7 linked regions of the Kluyveromyces lactis genome follow. The protein of the gene in region 2 purifies or fractionates together with the protein of the main gene of each other region. This does not show direct contact. Links are inferred from orthologs where the notes say so. Each region holds a gene or a part of one and is shown on either strand. Other genes may lie near its edges.

What was found.
Region 1: the proteins of SPB4 (region 2) and RRP17 purify together in Saccharomyces cerevisiae (affinity purification with mass spectrometry; 5 studies listed by BioGRID). This does not show direct contact. The link is inferred for Kluyveromyces lactis from reciprocal best matches to the Saccharomyces cerevisiae genes SPB4 and RRP17.
Region 3: the proteins of SPB4 (region 2) and RLP7 purify together in Saccharomyces cerevisiae (affinity purification with mass spectrometry; 7 studies listed by BioGRID). This does not show direct contact. The link is inferred for Kluyveromyces lactis from reciprocal best matches to the Saccharomyces cerevisiae genes SPB4 and RLP7.
Region 4: the proteins of SPB4 (region 2) and SPB1 purify together in Saccharomyces cerevisiae (affinity purification with mass spectrometry, with the first as the bait; 5 studies listed by BioGRID). This does not show direct contact. The link is inferred for Kluyveromyces lactis from reciprocal best matches to the Saccharomyces cerevisiae genes SPB4 and SPB1.
Region 5: the proteins of SPB4 (region 2) and ERB1 purify together in Saccharomyces cerevisiae (affinity purification with mass spectrometry; 7 studies listed by BioGRID, with this or other methods). This does not show direct contact. The link is inferred for Kluyveromyces lactis from reciprocal best matches to the Saccharomyces cerevisiae genes SPB4 and ERB1.
Region 6: the proteins of SPB4 (region 2) and NIP7 purify together in Saccharomyces cerevisiae (affinity purification with mass spectrometry, with the first as the bait; 4 studies listed by BioGRID). This does not show direct contact. The link is inferred for Kluyveromyces lactis from reciprocal best matches to the Saccharomyces cerevisiae genes SPB4 and NIP7.
Region 7: the proteins of SPB4 (region 2) and YTM1 purify together in Saccharomyces cerevisiae (affinity purification with mass spectrometry; 6 studies listed by BioGRID). This does not show direct contact. The link is inferred for Kluyveromyces lactis from reciprocal best matches to the Saccharomyces cerevisiae genes SPB4 and YTM1.

Annotation. Positions count from the first base shown.
Region 1 is NC_006037.1:186,916-189,499, forward strand, and holds RRP17 (rRNA-processing protein RRP17), read right to left. Parts: upstream 1,238-2,584; coding exon 506-1,237; downstream 1-505. Other genes in the region: ERD1 (Erd1p), read left to right, coding at 1-459; DFM1 (Dfm1p), read left to right, coding at 1,756-2,584. UniProt on the Saccharomyces cerevisiae protein: Essential protein involved in ribosomal RNA processing.
Region 2 is NC_006041.1:1,267,521-1,271,195, reverse strand, and holds SPB4 (ATP-dependent RNA helicase SPB4), read right to left. Parts: upstream 2,296-3,675; coding exon 505-2,295; downstream 1-504. Other genes in the region: ULA1 (Ula1p), read left to right, coding at 1-478; pseudouridine synthase DEG1, read left to right, coding at 2,676-3,675. UniProt on the Saccharomyces cerevisiae protein: ATP-binding RNA helicase involved in the biogenesis of 60S ribosomal subunits. Binds 90S pre-ribosomal particles and dissociates from pre-60S ribosomal particles after processing of 27SB pre-rRNA.
Region 3 is NC_006040.1:417,994-420,895, reverse strand, and holds RLP7 (Rlp7p), read right to left. Parts: upstream 1,462-2,902; coding exon 505-1,461; downstream 1-504. UniProt on the Saccharomyces cerevisiae protein: Involved in the biogenesis of the 60S ribosomal subunit. May act as a specificity factor that binds precursor rRNAs and tethers the enzymes that carry out the early 5' to 3' exonucleolytic reactions that generate the mature rRNAs.
Region 4 is NC_006039.1:51,922-55,999, reverse strand, and holds SPB1 (27S pre-rRNA (guanosine2922-2'-O)-methyltransferase), read right to left. Parts: upstream 2,813-4,078; coding exon 311-2,812; downstream 1-310. Other genes in the region: PBN1 (Pbn1p), read left to right, coding at 1-222; KLLA0_C00715g (uncharacterized protein), read left to right, coding at 3,813-4,078. UniProt on the Saccharomyces cerevisiae protein: Required for proper assembly of pre-ribosomal particles during the biogenesis of the 60S ribosomal subunit. Specifically methylates the guanosine in position 2922 of the 25S rRNA at the stage of 27S pre-rRNA maturation.
Region 5 is NC_006042.1:2,460,378-2,464,685, reverse strand, and holds ERB1 (ribosome biogenesis protein ERB1), read right to left. Parts: upstream 2,811-4,308; coding exon 435-2,810; downstream 1-434. Other genes in the region: CSM3 (Csm3p), read left to right, coding at 1-308; KLLA0_F26587g (L-methionine (R)-S-oxide reductase), read right to left, coding at 4,014-4,308.
Region 6 is NC_006038.1:200,317-202,806, forward strand, and holds NIP7 (ribosome biosynthesis protein NIP7), read left to right. Parts: upstream 1-1,435; coding exon 1,436-1,981; downstream 1,982-2,490. Other genes in the region: pseudouridine synthase PUS1, read right to left, coding at 1-859; signal recognition particle subunit SRP72, read right to left, coding at 2,285-2,490. UniProt on the Saccharomyces cerevisiae protein: Required for proper 27S pre-rRNA processing and 60S ribosome subunit assembly.
Region 7 is NC_006039.1:647,171-650,426, forward strand, and holds YTM1 (Ytm1p), read right to left. Parts: upstream 1,838-3,256; coding exon 503-1,837; downstream 1-502. Other genes in the region: KLLA0_C07403g (uncharacterized protein), read left to right, coding at 1-385; FSF1 (Fsf1p), read left to right, coding at 2,948-3,256. UniProt on the Saccharomyces cerevisiae protein: Component of the NOP7 complex, which is required for maturation of the 25S and 5.8S ribosomal RNAs and formation of the 60S ribosome.

The sequences.
Region 1 (2,584 bases), on a different chromosome or scaffold from region 2:
GCTTTTAAGTATGCTGGTAATATTCCTATCATGCTAGTTACAGTCTATACAAGATATTACAACCTGGGCCCACTTGGAATGATGTATTGGTTCATGTTTTGGAATTCCGCGTATTCATTCTGGTGGGATGTGACCATGGATTGGAAACTAGAGCTGTTCGATTTTGTGAATGGGGACACTAGTGTCAATAACAATAATAGTAGTAACAAAGCGGACGGTCTTTTAAGAAGCATTTTGTTGTACCGGAAAAATGCGTGGTATTATAGCGCTATGGCGCTCGATTTTATTTTGAGATTCGTATGGTTCTGGGAGTATATCAGTGGGCACTCTGTATTTTATGGGGAATTAAACATCTTTTGGTTACAAATTTTAGAGATAATCAGAAGATGGATTTGGTTATTCTTTAAAGTCGAGGTAGAATACATTGCAACAACAGAGGGGGGGAAAATGGATGAATGAGATGTTTAGAAAGAGAGGAAGATAATAAATAAAAAAAAAAGGTTAATTACTTCCTACGTTTATTATTGTTGGCCTTTCTTTGATTTTGTCTTCTCTCGTTCTTGGTCAAGTATCTGAACTTCTTATTCTTTTTACTCTTATTACCAGATTTTTCTTCAACTCCCAAAAACTTTGCATATTTCTTCGCACGTTCGATGCTTTGATCTAAAATTTGTTCCGATTTCTCTAACTTCACATTATTTAATTCCGCAAGGTACTCAAAATTGTCATTGGGCTCTAAGGGTTCGATGTCTACCGTAGTATCATCTAAGTAAGTCTGTACATATTTCTTTAAGATCGGTTTCACACTAACAGAGTCAGAATCCTCTTCTTCTTCTTCAGTTGCATCTCCGTTATCATCGGAAAATCCCGTCCATTCTTCAGCCTCTTCATCGCTTCCCTGTTTCCCATTTTCGGCTTCTTCGTCGTCGTCCTCTACACCGACATAATCACCGACATCTTTCATCGCCTGTTTAAAATCTTCAAGCTGTTTCTCAAGAGCCTTTTTTTTATCTGCTCTGATCTTGGCCCTTTCCTCGAGCCTAGCTTTTCTCTCTTGCTCTTGGATGAACTCCTTGGCTTTCTTTTGTCTATCAAGCTTTCTCTTATGGAACCCAGTTAAGTATTCCAACCGTGAGTCCTTATCGAACTTTACCTCATCAGCACCGAATTTCTTAGCAGCTTTCTGCTTGTAAGATTTACCACCGGTAAGAATCTCACGATTACTCTTTGCCACCATTTTCACTCTATATCCACACTGCTACTCTGTATCTTCTGCAGAACTTGAACCGGTCTCAGCACCACCTCAGTAAGTGAAAAGCCTATCTGCTTTCTTCAGCTCATCGCATCAGCAAGTTTTTCCGTTTTAATGCTTTTTCCAAATATTGAAACTTCGAGATACAGAAAGAAATACATAGATAACTATAACATGATTGCATAAGGGCAATCTAGCCGTCCTGACCTAATTTATCTAGACCAATTCATATGCTCTGCCATGCACTAAGTAGAAAACAAATCTAGGCGTATACCTGTGTAGAGGATCATTACTTAACTATTCAATTTCTGTCATTCTGTGCTTTCCTATCTATGTCTTTCCCATAGCTTTAATTTTCGGGTTCTATGAAATTTCAGTTCCAAGTTGCAGTGAAAGAAAGATATTTATACTCACTATACAGATGCGCTGTCAAGATAGACACCGGAGGTACCATTCAGTAACATCAGTGGGATATACGATACGCGTGATTATTCATAGCAGCCATGACTATGCGTAACGAATTGATACAGTTTGTAGGACAAATTCCACCGGTGACCCGAGGAATATGTCTCTTAATGGTGTTAATATGTTTGATCCAACGCTTGAACGTATTACCGTACTATTTCAGCGATTTCAAATGGTCTTTACGTGGTGTATTGTTCAAGTTCCAAATCTGGAGGTTGTTCACTAGTTTCCTCATCTTACCAAACGATGCCATGAAAGCATGTTTCGACCTATACGCAGTATACTCGAAATCGTTACATCTCGAATTAGTGCACTTCAGCAACAAATCCATCGATTATTTGTTTTACATATGTTTCAACTTTGCATTGATCGTCGTGCTCGTAGAAGCATGCCAGATCTCATACCCAGTGTTCACTAACGCATTCATAGGAATGATCCTATATACGTGGACTCTGGACAACAGCAACGTGAAGGTAATGTTCTACGGATTATTCCCAATCTTGGGTAAATATCTATCGCTAGTGCATCTTTTCGTTTCGTTCTTATTTGATGACGGGACCGATGGTTACAGCAGGTTTTGCGTCACAATGGTCGGGTTTTGTGCTGGATACGTTTACTCCTGCCTAGACACATGGACTTACGGTCCCTTGTACGGTTATCTGATGGGGAAGGACCCAGCGTACGGATTCTCTGGAAGAGGTCATTTCAGATCACCAAGATGGTTCTCCTCGATCATTCTATGGATAGGACGTGTCCTATCCATCACCTCCAAACCCGTTTCGTCATCAAACAGGACAGACCCCGTGACCAGAAGAAGGTTGAGAACCCCGTTAAAGAAAAGCACTTTCGCTGGAACTGGAAATAGAT
Region 2 (3,675 bases):
ATTTGTACGATGCATCAGAATATTTTACGATTTGAGAGGCGATTTACCTGTGTCCGCATTCATTCCAGATATGGAATCCTCAACTAAACTATTCAACGCGCAGAAAGCAGTATATCAACGTAAAGCTGCCAAGGATAAATCAGAAATCATGCGCATTCTAGCAAAGGAGAATTATAGTTTGATACCTGAACCACTCATAGATAAAATGCTCGAGAACTTAAAACATTTGGATGCAATTAAAATGGGTAGCCTCTCATCGGCAACTAGAACTATAAGTGAAAAACCGAAGTTCAATAAGTTGCTATCGCTACAAAACGATAGACATGATACAACGTTTGTCAGCCCTGCGATGGCATCAATTCTTGGTGCAATGGTATCACAAGAATGCGTGAAATTATTGACACATCAATATGTACCGGTTGAAAACACATTGTTATATGACGGGGACTCGAATGAAACAAGCACATTTATATTATAATAGATTTATCTACGATATGTAATTGACTATAAATCATCGAAACTTCCTTGCATGGAGTTATGCTTCTTTTTCTTGTTTTGTCTTACAAGGTCTTTCCAGTCTTGCTCAACTTCATCTTCTGATTCCTCATCGCCCCGCAGAAGTTTCTCTTCAATTGCCTTCCTCTTGATGGCCATAGCTGCTCTTCTTTCAGCTTTGGCTTCTTTAGTTAGTGTCTTATCGGACCATGCCATGTTCTTCTTCTTTAGCTCACTTTTCAGTTTCTTTTTATCGCTTATTTGCTTGAGGTTTTGTAATTCTTGTAACCTCGCCTTCTCCTTTTGTTTATCTAAGTAAGCAAATGTGTCTAAATTCACTGGTGGTGATACCAACCAACCTTCCTCCGGAATTTGGTCGGCAGCATACCTGGTTATTTCGGGCATACGTGGCAGACGTAACAACCCGTAAAAGTTCGCAACGCCGATGAAATCCATGGAGTGGAATCTGAAGATCGATGATGCAGTATGCTTTGAGTAGTATTTTATAAATGCAACGTATGCTCTTACGCTGTGATCGAATCTTGCTCTATCGTGTAAAATCCAATCGTGGAATATTTTGGTTAGATTCTCTACGCCTTTCAGTTCCACAGATTCTTCTTCTAGTTTGACGTTTTTCACTTCCAGGAATGGTACGTAATCTTCTTCTCTACCTTCATTTAAAAACACAAGTGCCTTACCAATCCTATTAGCCCTACCTGTTCTACCACATCTGTGAATGAATATATCTGCATCTGTTGGTGGATCAAGTTGGATAACTAGATCAACATCTGGTATGTCTATCCCTCTAGCAGCAACATCTGTGGTGAATAGTACGGCATCGGTCAAGTTAGAAGTGAAACTGTCAAGCGTCTTCATTCTCGATTGCGTCTGTAGCTTTCCGTGTAGTGAGAAGAGTTTTAGATCATCCTGAATCAAATTAAGCTCTTTCAAATGGTTTATGAATGCGTAAAAATATGTGACCGAGATACATGTCGGGAAGTAAACTATGCATTTCTTGAATCTGTAGTTGTTGAGTAGAGTCAACAATAGTTGTAATTTATCCTTAGGTGGAATGACGATATAGTTTATCGAAAGAGATGAAGGTGCGCTCGAGTTAGACTTCACAGCAACTTTCACTGGATTTCTCATACCTGTTTTGAAGATTTGCGCACCCGCACTTTCGATTGTTGCCGAAAACAACCCTGTTCTTCTTTGCTTCGGCAACATCTTTAAAATGGTTTCTACATCTTTCTGGAAATTCAAATCCAATAACTTATCAGCTTCATCTAACACGACGGTACCACAGGAAGCAGTCTTTACATTAGTCTTCTGCAAAAAATCTAGGACTCTCCCAGGAGTACCAACTAGTATTTGGGGTCTGTTATCTGTAAAACTATTGATATCGTCTCGAACACTAGCGCTACTTGTTCCGACGAGTAATTGCGACCGTATTGGGTACAGATTATCTGGATAATACTTCAGAAAGTCTTCTATCACATCATGAATCTGACTGGCTAATTCCCTGGTTGGTGAAATGATTAACGAATGGAAATGTGATTTCTTGAATTTGGCCGAATTGGCTTCTTCTTTTATCAACCTTTCTAAAATTGGAATCACGAACGCTATAGTCTTACCAGATCCTGTAACAGATTCTACCACGACATCCTTGTTACCAGAGAACAACGGAATAGTTGAGGCTTGAACTGGCGTCATGGTCTCAAACCCCATCGATTCTATAGCCGTTCTAATCCATGGTTGTATCTCGCATTTCAAATCGTCCCACGATAACGACTTCGACATTTTGTATCAGTTCGAAACTTTAGACTAGGCTTTGGAGTGGTGAGTTTATACCTTGTTGGTCAAATCTTACTCCTGGATTTCAAATGTATGCATATGTTCACACTGATTTAATCTGGATACATTTTCCCGATGAGATGAGATGAGCTTGAACTTATTTTTTTTCTTTCCAGCTGCCATCCCAATAGAAAAGAAAAAAAATTCCATTAAATCTGTACAAACTTGCATTTAATGCTGATTGGCATTGATGCGGCGTTGTTCTCGATGGTTGTTCCATTCATAACAATTTGTATTCAAATTTGTTTGATATGATCTATTTGTTAAACTTCTATGAAGTTATATTAGCCTTGTGATATAATTCTTTCAAGACTACATATACTGGGATGGGATTTTTATCAAAACTTTTCAAACTAGATGGTAAAGGCACTGTGTCAGCAATGTCCACTGACCAGTCTGCTTATAAGAATTGGACCAGGGAACAGTTGATTGAGCGATTGCTACAGCTGGAAAATACTAGTGAAAATGGTAGTGATGCTAAAGGAAATAACTCAGATACCGTGGCTGAGGTAAAAAAGCGATCTGCGGACGCTGCTGTTGAAGCAGAGAGAAGAAAGAACGTCAAGAAACCTAGGAAATCAAGGGAATTCGACTTCTCCAAATACAACACACGGTTTGTCGCCTTCAAGTTTGCTTATTTGGGATGGAACTATAACGGATTGGCAATTCAAAAAGATGCGACTCCTTTACCTACTGTCGAGGGTACGATATTAGAGACCATGAATAAATGCAAACTTGTTCCGTCCATGGTTCCTCAAGAATATAAGTTTAGTAGATGTGGAAGAACAGACAGAGGCGTTAGTGCCATGAATCAAGTAATTTCATTGAGAGTTCGTTCGAATCTCACTGCAGAAGAGCAGCTTGATCCCAGCTATGACGACAAGGAGATTCAATATGTTAATATTTTAAACCAGATTTTACCAGAAGATATCAGAGTATCTGCAGTTTGCCTACGGCCACCAAAAGGTTTTGATGCCAGATTCAGCTGTAAAAGTCGACATTACAAATACTTGTTCAGCTCAGAGGGTTTGGATCTTGAAAGGATGCAACTGGCAGCCAAACACTATGAAGGTGAGCATGATTTCAGAAACTTTTGCAAATTAGATGGTTCAAAACAGATTACAAATTATAAGAGGACAATTAAAAGTTCAAATATCATGCACGTCAGCGAAGACATGTACTGCTTTGACTTGGTAGGTTCAGCTTTCTTGTGGCATCAAGTGAGGTGTATGGTGGCTAATCTATTTCTCGTTGGCCAAGGTCTTGAAGATCCCAATCTAATCAAAGAAATGTTGGATATAGAAAAGATGCCCAGAAAACCAATTT
Region 3 (2,902 bases), on a different chromosome or scaffold from region 2:
TCTGTGTAGTGTGGGATACTTTTTACTTCTTCAAATAGGTATCAACAATAAAAATAAATCGAAGCAAATGTAGGAATGCGTTAAAGCAGATGTACTTACTTAGAGTACATAGATATATTTATATAATTCAATATATAAAAGTATATGAAGCATCTGATGTTGAACCTGTCATGACTCTAAACTGGAATGGGTAGTTATGCTTCTGAAGGTTTTCCGTTAGAAAATGAGTGCAGGGATCAGGCCCGGAACCGGTTTTAGCCTGAAAGGAAAAGAAAAAAATGCGGTGATTACTAGCACGTGACTGCGCTGAATTGGAATCCACCACAAGTACAGCGAATGGCAAGAGGGAAGGGGAATATATTGTGCCTGGCGGTAGCGTCTGCTATATCAAATGTTAAACATAACTAAATGCAGTAGTGAATAGAGTAATGTATTTCTACATATGTGGGTAGGGCCAATGGGAGCCCGATGTCTATTGTACAGATATTTTCCTTTTATAGTTAATCAATTCAACTTGGAAATCATTGAGTCGATATCTACTTGGATAACTGGAGCCGTGGCAGCGTTTGAAATTTGACGAGTCTTCTTGTTTTGTTCGCGCATTTTCAGTTTATTCAAACGGGAGATGGCACCGAATCCACTGACTTCTCTGTTCAATTTGAATGGTAATAGGAAGAAAGTACATTTCGAGAAATTTTCGCCCAACGTCGAAATCTCATGGATGATATCCTCGATACAAATGACACCTTCATCACCTAATTTCTCTTCAACGATATTGTTGTCATTCAAGATTATCTCTTTTGGTTCTTTATCTTCTGGCCTTTGCCACATTATTCTAGATCTCTTTTGGATTAAAGAACGGATAGATGCAAGTGAAGGTTGTCCGATAACAATATATGGTGATACAAGTTTCAACAATGGGTACACGTCCTTGGTAAGTTTGATGAAAACACCAGTGTTCAACTCAACAAGTCTCAAAAGAGATAACACTTTGTAAGCCTTTGCTGGGATCTTCACAGCTGTGGGTCCTTTCACTCTTATAACAAATAATAAGCTTGGCTCACCATCGTATACGATTTTTTCCCTGATTAACCCATCGTCCTCTTCATCTTCCTCATCAACATCTTGAAGCTCAGATTCGGATGTAGCCTTACTACCGGCTTCTCTTTCAGAGATACGCAAGATAAAATCCCTATCGGATGGGATATGTGACAAATCGTTCTTGACCTTTTGGTTTTCTAAGTCTCTGACTCTTCTGATTCTGGTCTTTTCTCTCTCAGTAGCCAAAGTTGTGGCGACTATCGTCTCAGCTCTAACAAATCTGTTCTTCTTACTACGTTTCTGTTTCTCTTCTTGCTCCTTTCTCTTCTTGGCAAGCTCCTGCTTCTCCAACCTAGTACGATCAGCATTTCTTCTCTTTCTTAAAAGAACCTCTGGGTTCGAGTTCAATGGTTGTGACATTTGTTGCTTCTATATTACTGCCCTGTTTATTAATCTCAGCACAAACCAGCTCTATATAATACAACTTATATGCTCCTAATACTTCAGATTAGCCAAGGTCATCTCTCATTGAAAGCTTTATTCATAATCTTTAATTTCATCTCATCGCATCTCATCGCACTGAACTTTTTTTTCCTCGCCAAAAAAATTTTCTGTAACGAAAAGAAACACTTCCAGTCACGTGAACTGTGAAACCAAGATCTTCTGTTTGACACTCAGACAAGTAGATGATCAATTACAATTACAATTACAAGCTGACCTCGAATAGGGTACTGGCAAGTTGGCGTTTACCTGGGATGATCTGTTGCTGCAGCATGGTGTACCCCAGCAAGATTCTTCAGAATTAAATGGGAACATTTCGGAAAGTTACCCAAAGAATGGGAAGCAAGTTAAATAGTCAAATAGTCAAATTGTGACTGTCTATATGTGAATCGTATATACAGAGACGAATTTTCAAGCAGTTTCCCCTATCTACCTGCTGCAGGAACTAGCACTTCTAACCGGCAGTAAAGTTTTCCGTATCAGCTCATGAAATCGTTATATCTTGGCTTTTGACACTGGCTTTCGAGGTGGCTTTAGGAGTCTCGAAATGTGTGCCCACAGCAGTGTTTCCTTCGAAACCAGCCGTGGCTCCATTCTTTGTACCATCTATGCCGCTCTCTGTTTCGAAACAACCGTGAGATCAACTGTGGTTCAAGTTCTCAACACAGAACAAGTAAGAAAAAAAAGAAATGGGAAAAGGTCCCTCGAGAGGAAGAATGCTGAAAAGGCAGAGAAGGAACCTCAGAGCAAAGTCCGCCCTTTATCATAAATCGGCGGTCTTTTCTTACAACAGAGATCCCAGTGGGGCGGCTCGAACGACGGAAAAAATTTCGAACGATTTAACCGTGAACGCATGCCTGTCCCTAAATTGTAGGACGTTTTCCTCGATTTAAATTCCAAATCACTGAGCGATACCGCTGACAGCACTGGAATTATGCTACTCTTAAGTTATATTTTTCCCTTCGCTCACGTGATTCTAGGAAGATAGTAAATACACTGTGCCGTTTGTTGAGCTACAGCGTGAACAGTAGGAAATGTACTTCCACTACGGGCTGACTAAGTCCACGCTCGAAGGAATAAAAATCACTTCGAGTGTCTTATGTTTTTCTTTTCTATCAAAACGACAAGTACGATAAAAAAACCGGCATGAAAATCGAGTAGTGGTTATCAGAATGAACATTGCAGGACCCGCGCTGAACCCAAAAGTCGACTTTCTTGATTCTTAATTGTAATCTGACTCTTTGAATGCTTTGAGCTTCGAAATTCCTTTTTTTTTTCTTTCATATTTAATAGTGAAAGTATTGAATCCTCGAGAAACTGAAAAATTATACAACCATATAATTAATACACACTGAGCCGT
Region 4 (4,078 bases), on a different chromosome or scaffold from region 2:
TGTGATACTTCCATTGAACTTACGAAACGGTCACCCTTCTATACTGGAAAAATCGGATATGAACACTTTTTCACTGACAACACCAAATTTTACTATCTAAATTCTACTAAAATGACAATTAACCTTCCGAAACTAGACTCATCTGATAACTTATGTATTCAGCTGTTTACCTTGGGATTGGTGCTCTTTTCTGTTTTGTATTTGATCAGAAAACTTTTTTGAAGTAGGTTGATCTTATTCAATATTCTATCTACGACTAAATATAATGTACAATTCCATTTCACGGATTAAGTGATATGATTAGCATTCCTTATTTTTTGTGATGCTTTTTAGCGATACGTTTCAAAGCCCTTTGTTCGTTCTTTAAAACACCGTCAACCATCTTATATTTACCCTTAACACCCTTAGGCCTGCCGGAAAGACCTCTATTCTTACCACTTGCAACCACAACTGTGACCTTCGGTTTTTGCTTTGCTTTCTTGGTAACCTTTCTCATCAATTTTGCAATTTCTTCAGCCTTGTCCTTTTCAGATTTATCGCTGTCATCATTAATTAGACCAGCCTTCTTCTTCAACTTTTCTAAACGAGCAACAGCACGGTGCTTCTTCCTGGCTTTAGCTTCAGCAACTTTTTTGATGGGTCTGGCATTTAGAGCCTTCAGTTTATCCTTTATTGCCATGGCTGCTTCTTTGGTGATAGGCTTATTAATTTTGGAATGTTGTTTTTCTTCTTCAACGAACCATTCGGGCAGGTTTTCCATATCACGGAAAGAATATCTATTGAAACCCTCTTCGATTAAATCATGTTTCGTTTTGTGACCTAATGCCAATTGATGAGCTAGAGTCATAGCTTCAACGGTCGCAATATCAATGTCTTTGGAATGTTTCTCTTGTTTTGTCCTCTTTGCCTCTTCTTCGGAATCATACTCAGAGTCTACATCGCCATCTTCGTTGTTTGCGACGATTTCGAAATCACTATCTTCGTCGGAAGATTCGGCTTCAGAAATCTGCTCTGCAGGAAGTGGATTCAATTTTCTTTTCTTTGTTAGTTGTTTGACATCACCCACAGACTCTGAATCCGCAAGATCCGCCTTACCAGGTAAATCTGGTTCAACTCCCTCGAATAAAGAATCGGAAAATAGCGCGCGAGCTTTAGAACTTAACTTGCTGCTGTTTTCTCTACTTTTCAATTTTGCTATCAACTGATTGATAGCTTCATCATCGTCAGAGTCTGAAAGATCCGAGTTGTCATCGTCGTCAACATAATCCTTAGTTTCTTCTTCGTTCTCTTCATCACTTTGTTTGTCCTCGAATCCATTCCAGTTGTCCGCTTCACTGGATTCACGGGCTTGCTTAGCTCTAAACTTTGCATCTCTTTCTGACTTGCGTTCCTTATAGTTACTGTACATGGCATCAAGTTGGGATTCTAGTTCATCAGCCTCAGCGAGCTCATCACGATCATCCAGAGGCGCATTTTCATCAATGTGGATATCGTTATCTATGGCTAATTCATTTTGATCAAATATCATTCTTCTCTTACCCTTGGCAAGTTTATCAAGGATACCCGTTTTTTCTGCAGTTTTCAAATTGAAAATTGATTCTCTACCTAACTCTGCAGCTTCGATACCAATGTCTACTGGATTGATCATATTTAATTGCATACGAACAATTTCCTTCTGTTTCATTTCGTTCTTCTTTCTCTTCTCACGCTTAACAGACAACCTTTGTTTCTCCTGTAGAGTATTTAGTTCTTTTTCAATCTGCTCTTCTTCTGTCAAAGGTGTTTCCTCAATCTCTGGTTTTTCTTCCTCTTCATCCAAGCCTAAAAGTTCTCTAGCTGCTTTTCTCCATTTTAGGATCATCTTGAAATCTTTTCTACCAAGAACCTTTAAATCTTCGATACATGCCAAGAATTCTTTGGTGGTTTGCTTTAATTTCTTCACAATTTTCCAGTCATGATCTTCTTCGTCTACGATGAATTTATTATATTCTCCAAGCATAGTTATTGGGTCTTCTGATTTCATAAAGTCCATAAGACCAGTTTCATGGTATAACAAATAATCACCTTCCTCGTAACCACCTCTTTTTCTGACCTTTTTTTCTGGATTAAAAACCTTGGCTTCCATGTTTTGTGGACCATCTGGTAATTCTTCAAAGACTTCCTTTGGGTCTAATAGCCTTGGATCCAACTTCTTAGGGGCCTTGAAATTTTTGCAGACAACGAAAATTTCCGCAGAAACATTTCTGGAAGCAGGAGGTTTGGTTGCCTCCACCTTTTCGAAGAGCTGTTGAAATACCCAAATTAGCTTGTTGTAATCTTTGGATCTGAAGATCTTCGTTACAAATGTACCACCAACTACTAAATTTTCAACGGCTAATTTTAAGGCTTGCAGTGTTAAATGAGACTGTGTGAAGGCATCTTGAGCCCAACTCAAACCAACATTTGGAGCACCATCGTGTAAAACGGTGTCGGCTTTCCACGTCTTCATGTACCCTCTTAATTTCGATCTACAATCTTCCGTTGTGATATCACTTTGGAAAGTAATAACGTTTGGCATAGTTTTCATCGGAACAATATCGACACCAATAATCAAGGAGTTAACAGGACACAAGTTGGAAGCCACTTGACACCAGGAACCTGGTGCAGCACATAAATCGATAACGACCTTCGACTTCTCCAAAAAATGTCCATACTTTTCATTGATTTGAATGATTTTGAAGGAAGAACGAGCTCTGTAGCCCTTTTCCTTAGCAAGGTAATAGTACTTATCTAAACGACCTTTGGAATTCTTCTTTTGCGTCTTCTTACCCATCTTGGTCTTCTCGGTAATGTATGGTGACCTATTCACTCAAGTCTAAAAGAGAACAGGATATCAGAAAGCAAATAAACAACAGTTGTAACCTGTTCAACGTTCAACTAATCTCTTCTCATCTCATCTCATCTCATCTCATCGCTAGACCAATTTCTCAAATAAAAAATTGTCACTCTTCTCACAAATAATGAAAAATTATCTGAAAAAGAAATAATTTTGGATGCGGTGTTCGGGTTAAGAATGCTCGCGGTACCAGGTATGGAAACACCGGACACTGTACTGGAGGAACTGCCAGCTTTGATGCTATGCACGGTTTCCACTGTTAAAATAACGAGCAGTAAAAAATCTGTTTGGACGTGTTATCATGGATATTGATATTACTGTAACAACACAAGACTTATATAGAGGGCCCTTAGCGTTCCACAGTTTTAAATAAGGAATATGATTTCGGTTTTTTTTCAACCATTAGCACTGCCAACGTTTACAAATAATTATGCAACGCTCTCAGGCTATAAGGGTACCGATGCTTATAATATTTCTGCAAGATTATAGGTATGGGTAGTTACTACTATTGCTACTGCTGATCATACCATAGGCTAAATAAATTTATGACCGCCTCTCGAAATAGAGATGCATTCTATGGCCCTCTCGGTCCATTGGCAGTAACTGCAATCTTATATCCAATTATCACACAACATAATGGTTCCCGCTTATACGTAGGTGTATATATAGCCTAATTCATCCGGGTTCAGTATCACTATATTTGGCCAGAATATCTGCGTATTGTACATTCCAGCCAGTAGAACGATACACGTTACAGACAGAGAAAAAAGGAAGAAGAAAAGCATTCCAAAATAAAACTGCAAAAATCAAAAATCCTTTCAAGTACTTACTTACTTGATTAATTTATGGTTGTATGAGATACTTGTACATAAAGTATTGTTTAATTCAATTGCGCAAGATATCAATCTAGTATCCACTGCGTTGAATACACGGGAAGATGAGTAAGTATTCATTTGAAACGATTCAGTTTAAGGAGACTCCTCCGGCGGAAACTCCTGAACCAGTGAATTCCAAATATGGCGTGAAAACGACAGCATCACCAGCTATTAAGAACGCTCCATTGCCTGCAGAGGGACCTTCTTCCAGACACTTTTCCAATTGGTTATTATTCTCCTTGCTCGGTGGTATTCCTTACTATGTAACAAGGAAAGTTGGGGGAGGTCTCAAAACCTTCTTGTTCTTTGCCGTACTGTTTGCTATCCC
Region 5 (4,308 bases), on a different chromosome or scaffold from region 2:
CCACCAAAATTATCAGCCTAGACAAAGACAAAAATCAGAATAATGACGGCAACTATGACGATGATGATGATGATGATGATGATGATGATGTTCTATATTCTTCGCATCACCAGCGGCACACGAATGAAATGTTGTCCACCACTGATACAAACATACGGCAACATACACAAAATGGCTACGCTCTGCCTAACGCTGAAGAGTTAGACGAATTGAGTAAAATTACGACCGTTGCCAGCACAACAAATAACGGTAATGATATCGCATCAGATGAGGAAATGGCAATGATGAGAGACATGGATACCTTTTGAGCTCTGATCCAAAGATAATAATGTATTCCCTTGAACACTAATTAGAAAGTATCTACTTGTAATATTGATAGGTAATGATGTCCATAGTATACAGTGTTTTACAAATATCCCGTCATGAGGGTTCTATCAGGTAGTCCACAAACGAGCGGTTTTGTCGGCACCTGCAGAGAATAGCCAAGCTTCACGTGGATGCCATATAGTATCTAGAACACCTAAACTATTCACAATCTTGTGGCCGGTTAGTTTCTTCAACGGGACGATCATAGGGTTCTTCATTAAATCGTCATAGACCGTGGCATGGAAAACATGGATGTTACCATCATCCGCAGCTGAGCAAAACAGTGGTAGTTTCTTGTGGAAACTTACGCTTCTTACAGCCTTCTCATGGTATCTCAAGGTCTTATATGGAGTGCTTGCAAGGTCAAGATCATGCCACAACACTCTCTTGTCAAACGAGGATGCAATTAAGTTATCACCTCTTGGGTGAATATCAATAGTAGATAACCAACGAGCACCAGGTAGAAGTTTCTTGATTAGCACTTGTTGCGATAGGTCATAAATTCTGACGTATCTTTGAGAACAGACCAAGAGCTGTGGCTTGAATGGATGGAATTTTGCATCCATAATGATACCCTTAGATTTTTTGAATGGCGATTGAGTTAAATGCTTGGATAATTGATGAATCAAAACTGATGTATTACCTGAGTCTGGTTGAACAGTGACAAAGTAATCACCTTTTCTATGCCATGAAAGCTTTTTCACTGATTTACGACAAGTTATTACGATACAAATATCATTGGCAGCTTGCCTTTCGGTTGGTTTATTCCATTGAGCAACCTGTTTCTTGACAGCATGTGATTCAGCACCGTCATCCTCATCATCGCTATTCACATTGAGATTACTCTTTTTGACGTTTCCGAAAGTATCGAAACCAAAACCGTATTCAATCTTTGATTTACCTGTGTTTTCAATTTCAAAGCCGAAAATTGGTGGAACAAGCAAGAAGATGTTTTCGCCAGCAGTAACCGCAAGGATACCGGTAGTACTGTCGGGATTCCATTCAACAACGTCTATGTGGTCATCATTGTTTTCTTCCGCATTAAGTATTGTGACTTGGTAAACTTCTCTACCTGTAAGAATTTCCCATACTCTGACAGTGCCATCATCGGAACCAGTAGCCAACCATAATCCAGTTGGATCAATGGACATTGTACGAATTTTTCCTTTATGACCGACATAAACGGTAGAGCAACGGATTGGAAATGGTCTCAAATCTTTTGTAGAGGGCAATTCTGGGATCAAAGATTCAGGATCAATGTTCAACTTATTTTTGCGAACACGAGGCGCTAAATACAAATCTAATGATCTTTCAAACCTTTCTCTGACAGATTCAGAGTAACCTGGAACTTTTCTTAATGCAGCGAATTTGTGAGGCACAAAATTTCTCTCTCTTTCACTTGGTTCCATCTTTTCCCATGCATCAATTTCCTCTGGGGTCAAAAGATACTCTTCCGGAGGGTTGTAAGACTCCTCATTTGTTGGTGGTGGCAATTTTGGGGCTCTCAAGTTCATAACATGTTCAGAGATTTCTTCGGCATCTCCCCAGAGATCGTAGTTATGACTGTCTTGTTCTTCTTTTTCTCTTAATTCCTTTAGTTTCTTTGGTGGGATAATTCTACCTTCTCTGATTGCTTTGACTATTTTCATCACACGCTTGGCTTCGTGCTTTGACGGAACGAAACGTCTTTTCGGTTCTGGGACGGCCGTAACTGGCATTACAGATTCGTGTCTAGTGAACCAGTCGATTAAAGGTTCGTATGGATTCACAGATTCGTCCGTCTGTTGATTATTTTGCAACTTATTGATTAATTCAAGTTCTTCTTCGGTCAAATTCAAAGAGGCACCGCTGTCTTTGTCTAGTAAACCTGTCCAACCCTCTGGCAATTCTATAGATTCCAATAATTGATCTAAAGCAGATCCTTTGGCTGGTCTCATTATTCTCTTACCATTAATGTCATAACCAATATGTGGCATTTCATCATATGCAGATAGTGGGATGTTACCAATTGTGTTCTTAGCTTCTGCATCACTATCATCACTATCATAAACAGGATTAATTTCTGACTTAAGAATTCTTGGTCTTCCATCTGAATACTTGGTACGAACAATGCCTTCATCGCTTGTTTCTGGAATCACTGTTAACTTTACATTTGACAATTTGTCGGTAATGGAAAAAGCATCGCCTTCTTCAGAAAAATCTGAAGTATTATACTCCTCCTCCTGTCCATTTTCTTCTTCAGCTAATAAGCGATTGAATTCAGCATCAGAGTCGTCATCTTCAGCTTCCTCAGCTTCATTTTCGCTAGCCTCTTCATCGATTAAACCATCAACTTCAATTCTTTCATCTTCAGAATCGGACAATTCAGATTCCTCGAGAACTCTCTTTTTTACAACAAGCTCCGCTGATTCAGAACCATTCAAAGAAGAATTCTTTCTGGCCATAGTTTCTGGTATTGTTTTCTGGCTCTCTATACTTTCAGAGCTTCTTCTGATGCCGTTAACTTTGAGAAGTACTGGTTATCTCTGTGGTCTATTCACTTCAGCTCATCTCATCTCATCTCTCAAGATGAAAATTGAAAATTTTAAGAAACAAAAAGAAAGAAAATTACGATACATTAATTACTTCTACAAAGTTTTGAACAAGAATGCTATTTTGAAAAAGTCAAAGTACCCTTCAGCAAAGATAGGGAACTGGTATTCAATCAACTCCACATATACTTCTACTTACGTTGAAGATATTTACTTTGGTCGCTAGCCTACAATGAATGTAATTCTTAACTCTTATTTTTTTTGCATCATAGACAGTTATCTTAGTTTTATTCTAGTAGATGCAACATCGTTTTCAAGTTTGTAATTTCATCATTGAAGAAGCTATTTCCAGTAAACTTCATTATTCCAATTTGGGGCGCTGATAAGAGAGACCTATTTCGTTTCTTCAGAAACTCTTAACGATGTAACATATACTCATGTAGTTCTCTCAGATCTTGTTGTGATATGCCTTGGATGATAGTTGATTGATTAATCGCCTGATGAGGGATCGTTGATATCAAACAATATAACGAATATAATATAATAATCTATTTAGTTAGATCGTTGAGTATATGCGTCCAACCTCCCCAAGAGGTCGCAACATAGCTCAGCCTTTTATACTCGACTTATATACTCGGATGGTCGTCAGACTTCGTCATGGCAACTCATTGCCTCCATGCCCTTGTAGGTCCTCTGCAGCTACCGTCCTCCACGCGCACTCAAGACCATCACGTGACCGTCTATGATCCATCTAGGCCATCCCTTCTGGATACCACAGGATCCATATGCCCAGTCACTGACGTCTTGGAACTCTGCCGTGTGCTGGCTAGCTCACATGACCTCTCGTCTGGCTTGTCTTCAGTCTATATTACGACAGACCTCACAAGATGGTTTCGTGGTCTAGTCGGTTATGGCATCTGCTTAACACGCAGAACGTCCCCAGTTCGATCCTGGGCGAAATCATTTTTTTCATTGAAAACTAGAAAACTTCTGTTCCACTGGACCTGGGGCAGCATGCCCTATGTTAGGTATGCAATAACAGGCAACTTCATATACGGTCAAGAGTTGTGATATCAATTGAGAGAATATAATTAACGAGTGTAACTACTTAATGAGTTAGAATACGCATGTCTTTGAAACTGAAGCGGCCAATTTTTCTAGAAATTCTTGGTCAAGCTTAGTAAACCCGTTGTAGTCCAAACAGTCAATATCGATAACACCTACTGTTTCGCCATTTTGGACTATAGGAACCACAATTTCACTCTTTGTCTCCCCATCACATGCTATATGCCCTGGGAAGTTTTCAACATCTGGTACTAATTGAGTTTGTTGACTAGACGCAGCAGTACCACACACTCCTTTACCAAATTGAATCAACTGACAAGCAACTTTGCCTTGAAATGGCCCAAGA
Region 6 (2,490 bases), on a different chromosome or scaffold from region 2:
CAAAAGAATCTTTCGGCATGACAAAAGCTGCAATCTCTTCCAATTCCTCCTTGGTAAACTTAGATTCAGCCTCAGTAGAGAATGCTTCCCAGAATTGTGCACTTTCTACATCATCTTGGATAACATTCGGTATTTCCTTCTTGCTAGCTTCAATCTCGTTGTATAAATAAGTAGACGGTTTTGGGCCAATCAGTGAATAAGTTGGTAACAGATACTCGTACCATCTAGAGCTACACATTTTCCGACAGTCGAATGCCTTGTTGACACGGGAAATGTCCCAAACTCTAATCTGATCCGGCAATTCGTTGTTGATTTTTTCTTTGACTTCGGGATCTTCGATGATTAACTTTAATGAAATCACATTCCCACCTGCATGAACACCTTTATCGGTTCTTGCCGCACGTTGAAACCCGTTTTTCTTCAAATCTGTCGAATTTGCCTTGGATATCGCACCAGCTCTAACAAAGGCTTCAAACAGTTCCTTTTCAATGGTGTCGTTCGGTGGATTGTATTGCATTCCATGATATCCAGTACCGCAGTACCCAATCATGACTGCTACTTTCCTCTTGGGTAGACGAACTTCTTGGGGAATTGGATTTCCATCAGCATCCACAGCTAAAGCCACTGACTCGTCCTTATCCTTGGATCGAGTCTCTTTCTTTTCGTTGGAAAGGTCTGTGACAACAGCGGTTGGCCCATTATCAGTGTCGTTTGGTTTCTGACGCTTTTCAGAATTCTCACCATCCTCATAGTCAGCTTTCCGTGATCTGGTCTGCTTGTAGATGGCGCCTCTCTTGTAAGTATCTTCACCAGGTTGATCATCATCATAAACCGGTCTCAAATTTTGTTCTTCGCTCATAACACCCGCTTCTAGTTTTCCCTATTGAAGCACCTCTGCAGATAGATAAGTGGTAGGTCTGATTGAGCCTTAAGAAGAATAGAAAAGCCCAATTTAGCATTCAACGTTCAACCTTGAGACTTTCAATCAGAGCGATGAGCTGTTGATAAAAGTTTAAACTTTCCAAGATTTGTATGAAGAATCATATTTTTTCAGCAAAGAGGTCAGCGATGATCTAAGAAAATCATGAATACAGGAATAACATATTTCTTTAGCTCATTTTATCCATTTGGATACTCATTATGTGCGTTAACCTCTATCTGGAGCCCAGTGTATCGATTGTAAAAGGTTTGAGCACCTGTATACTGCGTTTACGAAGGTTATTAGATATATTTCTCAGTATCACGTGATTTGTTTGTTTCTTTTTCCTGGTATCTTGAAGGGCAGCATCAAATTTTCTTTTCATCATTATTAGACTGAAGCTCATCGCATAAAAGATGATGCTATACCTGAAGCGATGAGTACTCTACGAAATAGTATTCGAAGCTGTTGTATTGAATTCAAAGCCGGTCAGAATCAGGTATCGAAATAATAGCAATGAGACAATTGACAGAGGAAGAGACGAAAGTAATCTTCGAGAAGCTAGCAGGGTACATTGGAAGGAATATAGTGTACTTGGTGGATAATAAAGATCAACCTCATGTTTTCCGACTACAGAAGGATAGAGTGTACTATGTCCCAGAGCACATTGCCAATTTAGCTACTTCAGTTGCTAGACCGAACCTGATGTCATTGGGTCTCTGCATGGGGAAGTTTACCAAGACTGGGAAATTTAGATTGCATATCACATCTTTGTCAGTACTTGCGCAATACGCTAAGTACAAAGTGTGGATCAAACCTAATGGTGAGATGCCATTCCTATACGGTAACCACGTTTTGAAGGCACACGTTGGTAAGATGTCCGATGATATTCCAGAGCATGCAGGTGTAATCGTATTTTCGATGCATGATGTGCCATTAGGATTCGGTGTGAGTGCTAAGAGCACTTCTGAGTCCAGAGATCTTCAACCAACCAGTATTGTCGCATTCAGACAAGCAGATATTGGTGAGTACTTGAGAGATGAAGATACATTGTTTACTTAGGCGAATACTCCAAAGTACATTTTCACTTACTTGTTACATATATAGAACTTATTACTCATTTCACTTTCTGGATAGAACAAAACCTTCCCCTGGTGCAACTGCAATTCAGCGATGTTCCCACCTCAAAAAAAAGTTGTTATTTATCAACGATATTGTATATTATGATATATTACGGAACAAATAATACTCACATCTTCATCAAAGACTGTCTAAATTAAAATCAAAGACGACTGATATTTGATATCGCAGGAAAAACTACATTAATTAAAAGTAAAATGAATGTACATATGTTGTTAGTTCCCTCTAATGCTTACGCGAGTTTTTAGATTTAGCATTTGACGTTTTTTTACCTGCTGGCTTCTTCACGGCTTTCTTAGTGATATCTAATTTGGCTTCTGAAGCCTTAGATGCTTTAAAACCTTGAGTGTTCTTCCCAGAAATGTTCTTTTTGCTAACCCTATAAGTTGATCTCTCCTTTAACGGTAACCATCTTTCAGGATCCAACTTCT
Region 7 (3,256 bases), on a different chromosome or scaffold from region 2:
CCAAAAGCCAGAGAACTTAACAGTACTTTTCGGTGACTTTTGCTGCTATAAACCAGAGAAAAAATACAAAAATATAATAGTATGTTCTGCATTCTTTATTGACACAGCAGCAAACATGTTTGATTACTTCAATGCTATTGAGATGCTTTCTAACAATTGTACAGGACGTTTACACTGGGTTAATGTTGGACCGTTGAAATACGGAACTAGACCACTAGTACAATTCACATACGATGAGCTAGCAAGACTACGTAAATTACGTGGATGGGAAGATCATTCCAACCAGGTTGATGTTAAAAATTTGAATGGTTACCTAACAGACTACGAATCCTTATTCCAAGGGTTTTATGGTCTAGCCAAATTCCATTCGGAACTAAAAAGATAATTAACATTAGAACCCTGCAAATACTATGTTGTTTCTCAACATTTTTTGTGGTACATTTCTTTTATATTTAAGTGAACTAGTGAGCATAATTCCTGTATATAATATATAAAATTACGATTAGTTACTAAATATATTATCACCTTTATTAATTTGAATTTTTTTGTCTTGACCACCGCTGATGATACCTACGCCTTTAGCCCATTTGACAGCAAACACTTTATCATTGACACCTTTAACAACATTTTTATCTTCTCTGGTGATAGTGTACATTGCAGTGTTAGACCTAACATCCCAAACCTTGACAGTTCCATCGTGAGATGCAGAGCATATCATATATTCATTTTCTGGACAAGTATCCAAAGCGACAACGAAGTTCTTGTGACCTACAAGCTGCTGTTGGGTGATTTTAGATGAAGAATTTACACGAGGATCATGAAGAGTAATGTGTCTGGCACTCGACCCGCATGCTAAGAGATTTAATTTTGGTAGTTGCGCAACAGAAAGAAGTGAGTACGATGTCGTCTTTGTATCGACACATTTTGCCGTTATCAGATCCCATGTTTTTATAGTATGATCTTGTGACACGGAATACCCAACAGTATCATCCGATTTATCGAAAATGACAGCCTCTACTGGAGCACTGTGAGATTCAAAAAGAGCCAAAGGGGCTCTTCTTCTGATAGATCCATCTTTTAGAGTCAACTTTCTCCTCTTCTTGGCTGCAGTAGACACGTTGCCTCCTAAATCCTCCATCGGATCAATGACAGTCATCTCTTTATAATTCGTGGACCACAAGCTCACCGTATTATCGCATGATGCAGATAGAATACGGTCTTTCGAAACATCAATGGACACTACAGGGGCTTTATGACCTTCCAAGATGGCCAATGTCTTACCATCCTCAATTTCTTCTTCATCAATTGATTTCAAATCATCATTCTTCGTTTTCCACAGACGTAGAGTGCGATCATTCCCTGCGGACACCAATCTCGTACTAGAAATGTAATGCACAGCACGAATAGGGCCAGAATGACCACTGTATTGTTTTTCGACTTTCCCTGACAAGTTGTACGTTCTTACGATACCGTCATAGGAACCACTGTAGATGTAATTGCTTCCGACATCCAATGAGCTTACCCAATCTTCGTTATCAAAACTAGACAAATATGAAGGTGGTAGCACTGCTCTAGTATATTCAACATTCAAAAAGGTTTCCGATGATAAACCTTTCTTGATCAAATAGTCCTGCAACGATGTTCTCAAAAGTTCACCATCGATAAGGAAATCAAATGGCATAGATTTAGGTAATTCCAGTAGGTGATTAACAATTTCAGAAAGACCATATCTCTTTAGACTAACTGGAGCATAGATTGGAGCATCATTGACATGTAAAGTCTCATCTTCTTCACGAGTAAAGAAGCGTAGCTTCACCTGAGTCTTATCTGTTGACATATTCCCCTACAGTTTACTTCTCCTTATAACTAAGATATTCTTCCAGTGAATTCTAGTTTGAATTGTCTAATAGATTGTGATCGCACGTTGTTACTGAGGTACGATGGAGCGCGTTAACTCTATTCTTCCTATCTTGTACATTTTCTAAGCGTTGTAAGATGCGATGAGCTTGGAAAATTTTTGGGAAACAAACCACTGCTCGAAAAAGAAATCCGCCAGAAATAAATGCCAGTCACGTGTATATGTTTTAAGGAACCGGGTAGTGGAAATTAGTCAGTACACCAATAGCTAAGTGACAGACTAATGACCGTGTAATACTAAACATTTTCACGAGTAATATATGGTATATACAAGTATAAGTAAATTCAGGAGTGACAAGAGATAGAGAATGTCCCGCTCACGCAGCTACCAATTAAAGCCAATTGATGAAAAATAGTTAAGTACTTTAATCAGTATGAGGTACGCTCGCGGATAGAATTTTCATCTAGCCGTTCTTTTCCCCTCTGTTCATCTACGGTGTATCAGATGGCACAGTGAATAGAAGGCATTAATATGTTTCGTATCACTTTTTTAAGCCAAATAATCAAAAGAACAGTCGACTCGAATTTGATTAACTTAGAGTACTTGCTTTAACCTTGTCTTTTTCTCAAGGTGAAAAGCTTCTCAATTTATACTGGATGTCTGTTCTTTTTTTTTTTCAGGCAGAGAAAATTAGTTGTCCGGGTAAATTATCATATTACCTTTAGACATGTTAAGAATATGATTAGGGCAAAGACAAATATGTTATTGCTAAATTGGAAATCGAAGTGGTTGGAATCATCATCGTTTCACTAGTACAGTTTCTCCGAGAATAAGAGAATTATAATAACCTATTGCTAGATCAATAATTACTGTCTTTTTTCTTATCAGAATTCCAGCAGCTTTGTAACGCCGTACGTATCATTCTGACGCTGCAGAATGAAAAAAAAAAATGCAAGCTCGAGAGAATAATGCATTTATATCTAAAGAGTCATCTCATCTCGAAAGTAATTAAGCAAGAACAAAGTCGTGTTTGTCTCGTAGAAGCTCAGCTCATCCAAAAGACTTCGATACACTTGAGTACAGCTTATCATGGCATCCAGTGTCCCAGGTCCAATTGCCCTACCAGAATCTCGTTATGATCTAAGCACCTATTGGGGACGTGTTCGTCACTGCGCAGAGATTTCTGATCCAACGATGTTGTTAACGAGCAGTGATGATCTTCAACAAGCTCGCAAAATCATCAGTGCATATCGCCATGGAGAGTTGAAAGAAACGACGCCTGAGTTCTGGCATGCAAAGAAACAGCTAGATTCTACTGTTCATCCTGATACTGGTGAAACTGTGTTTCTCCCATTCCGTATGTCCTGTTGTGTGCCCTCAAATCTGATAGTTACTGCT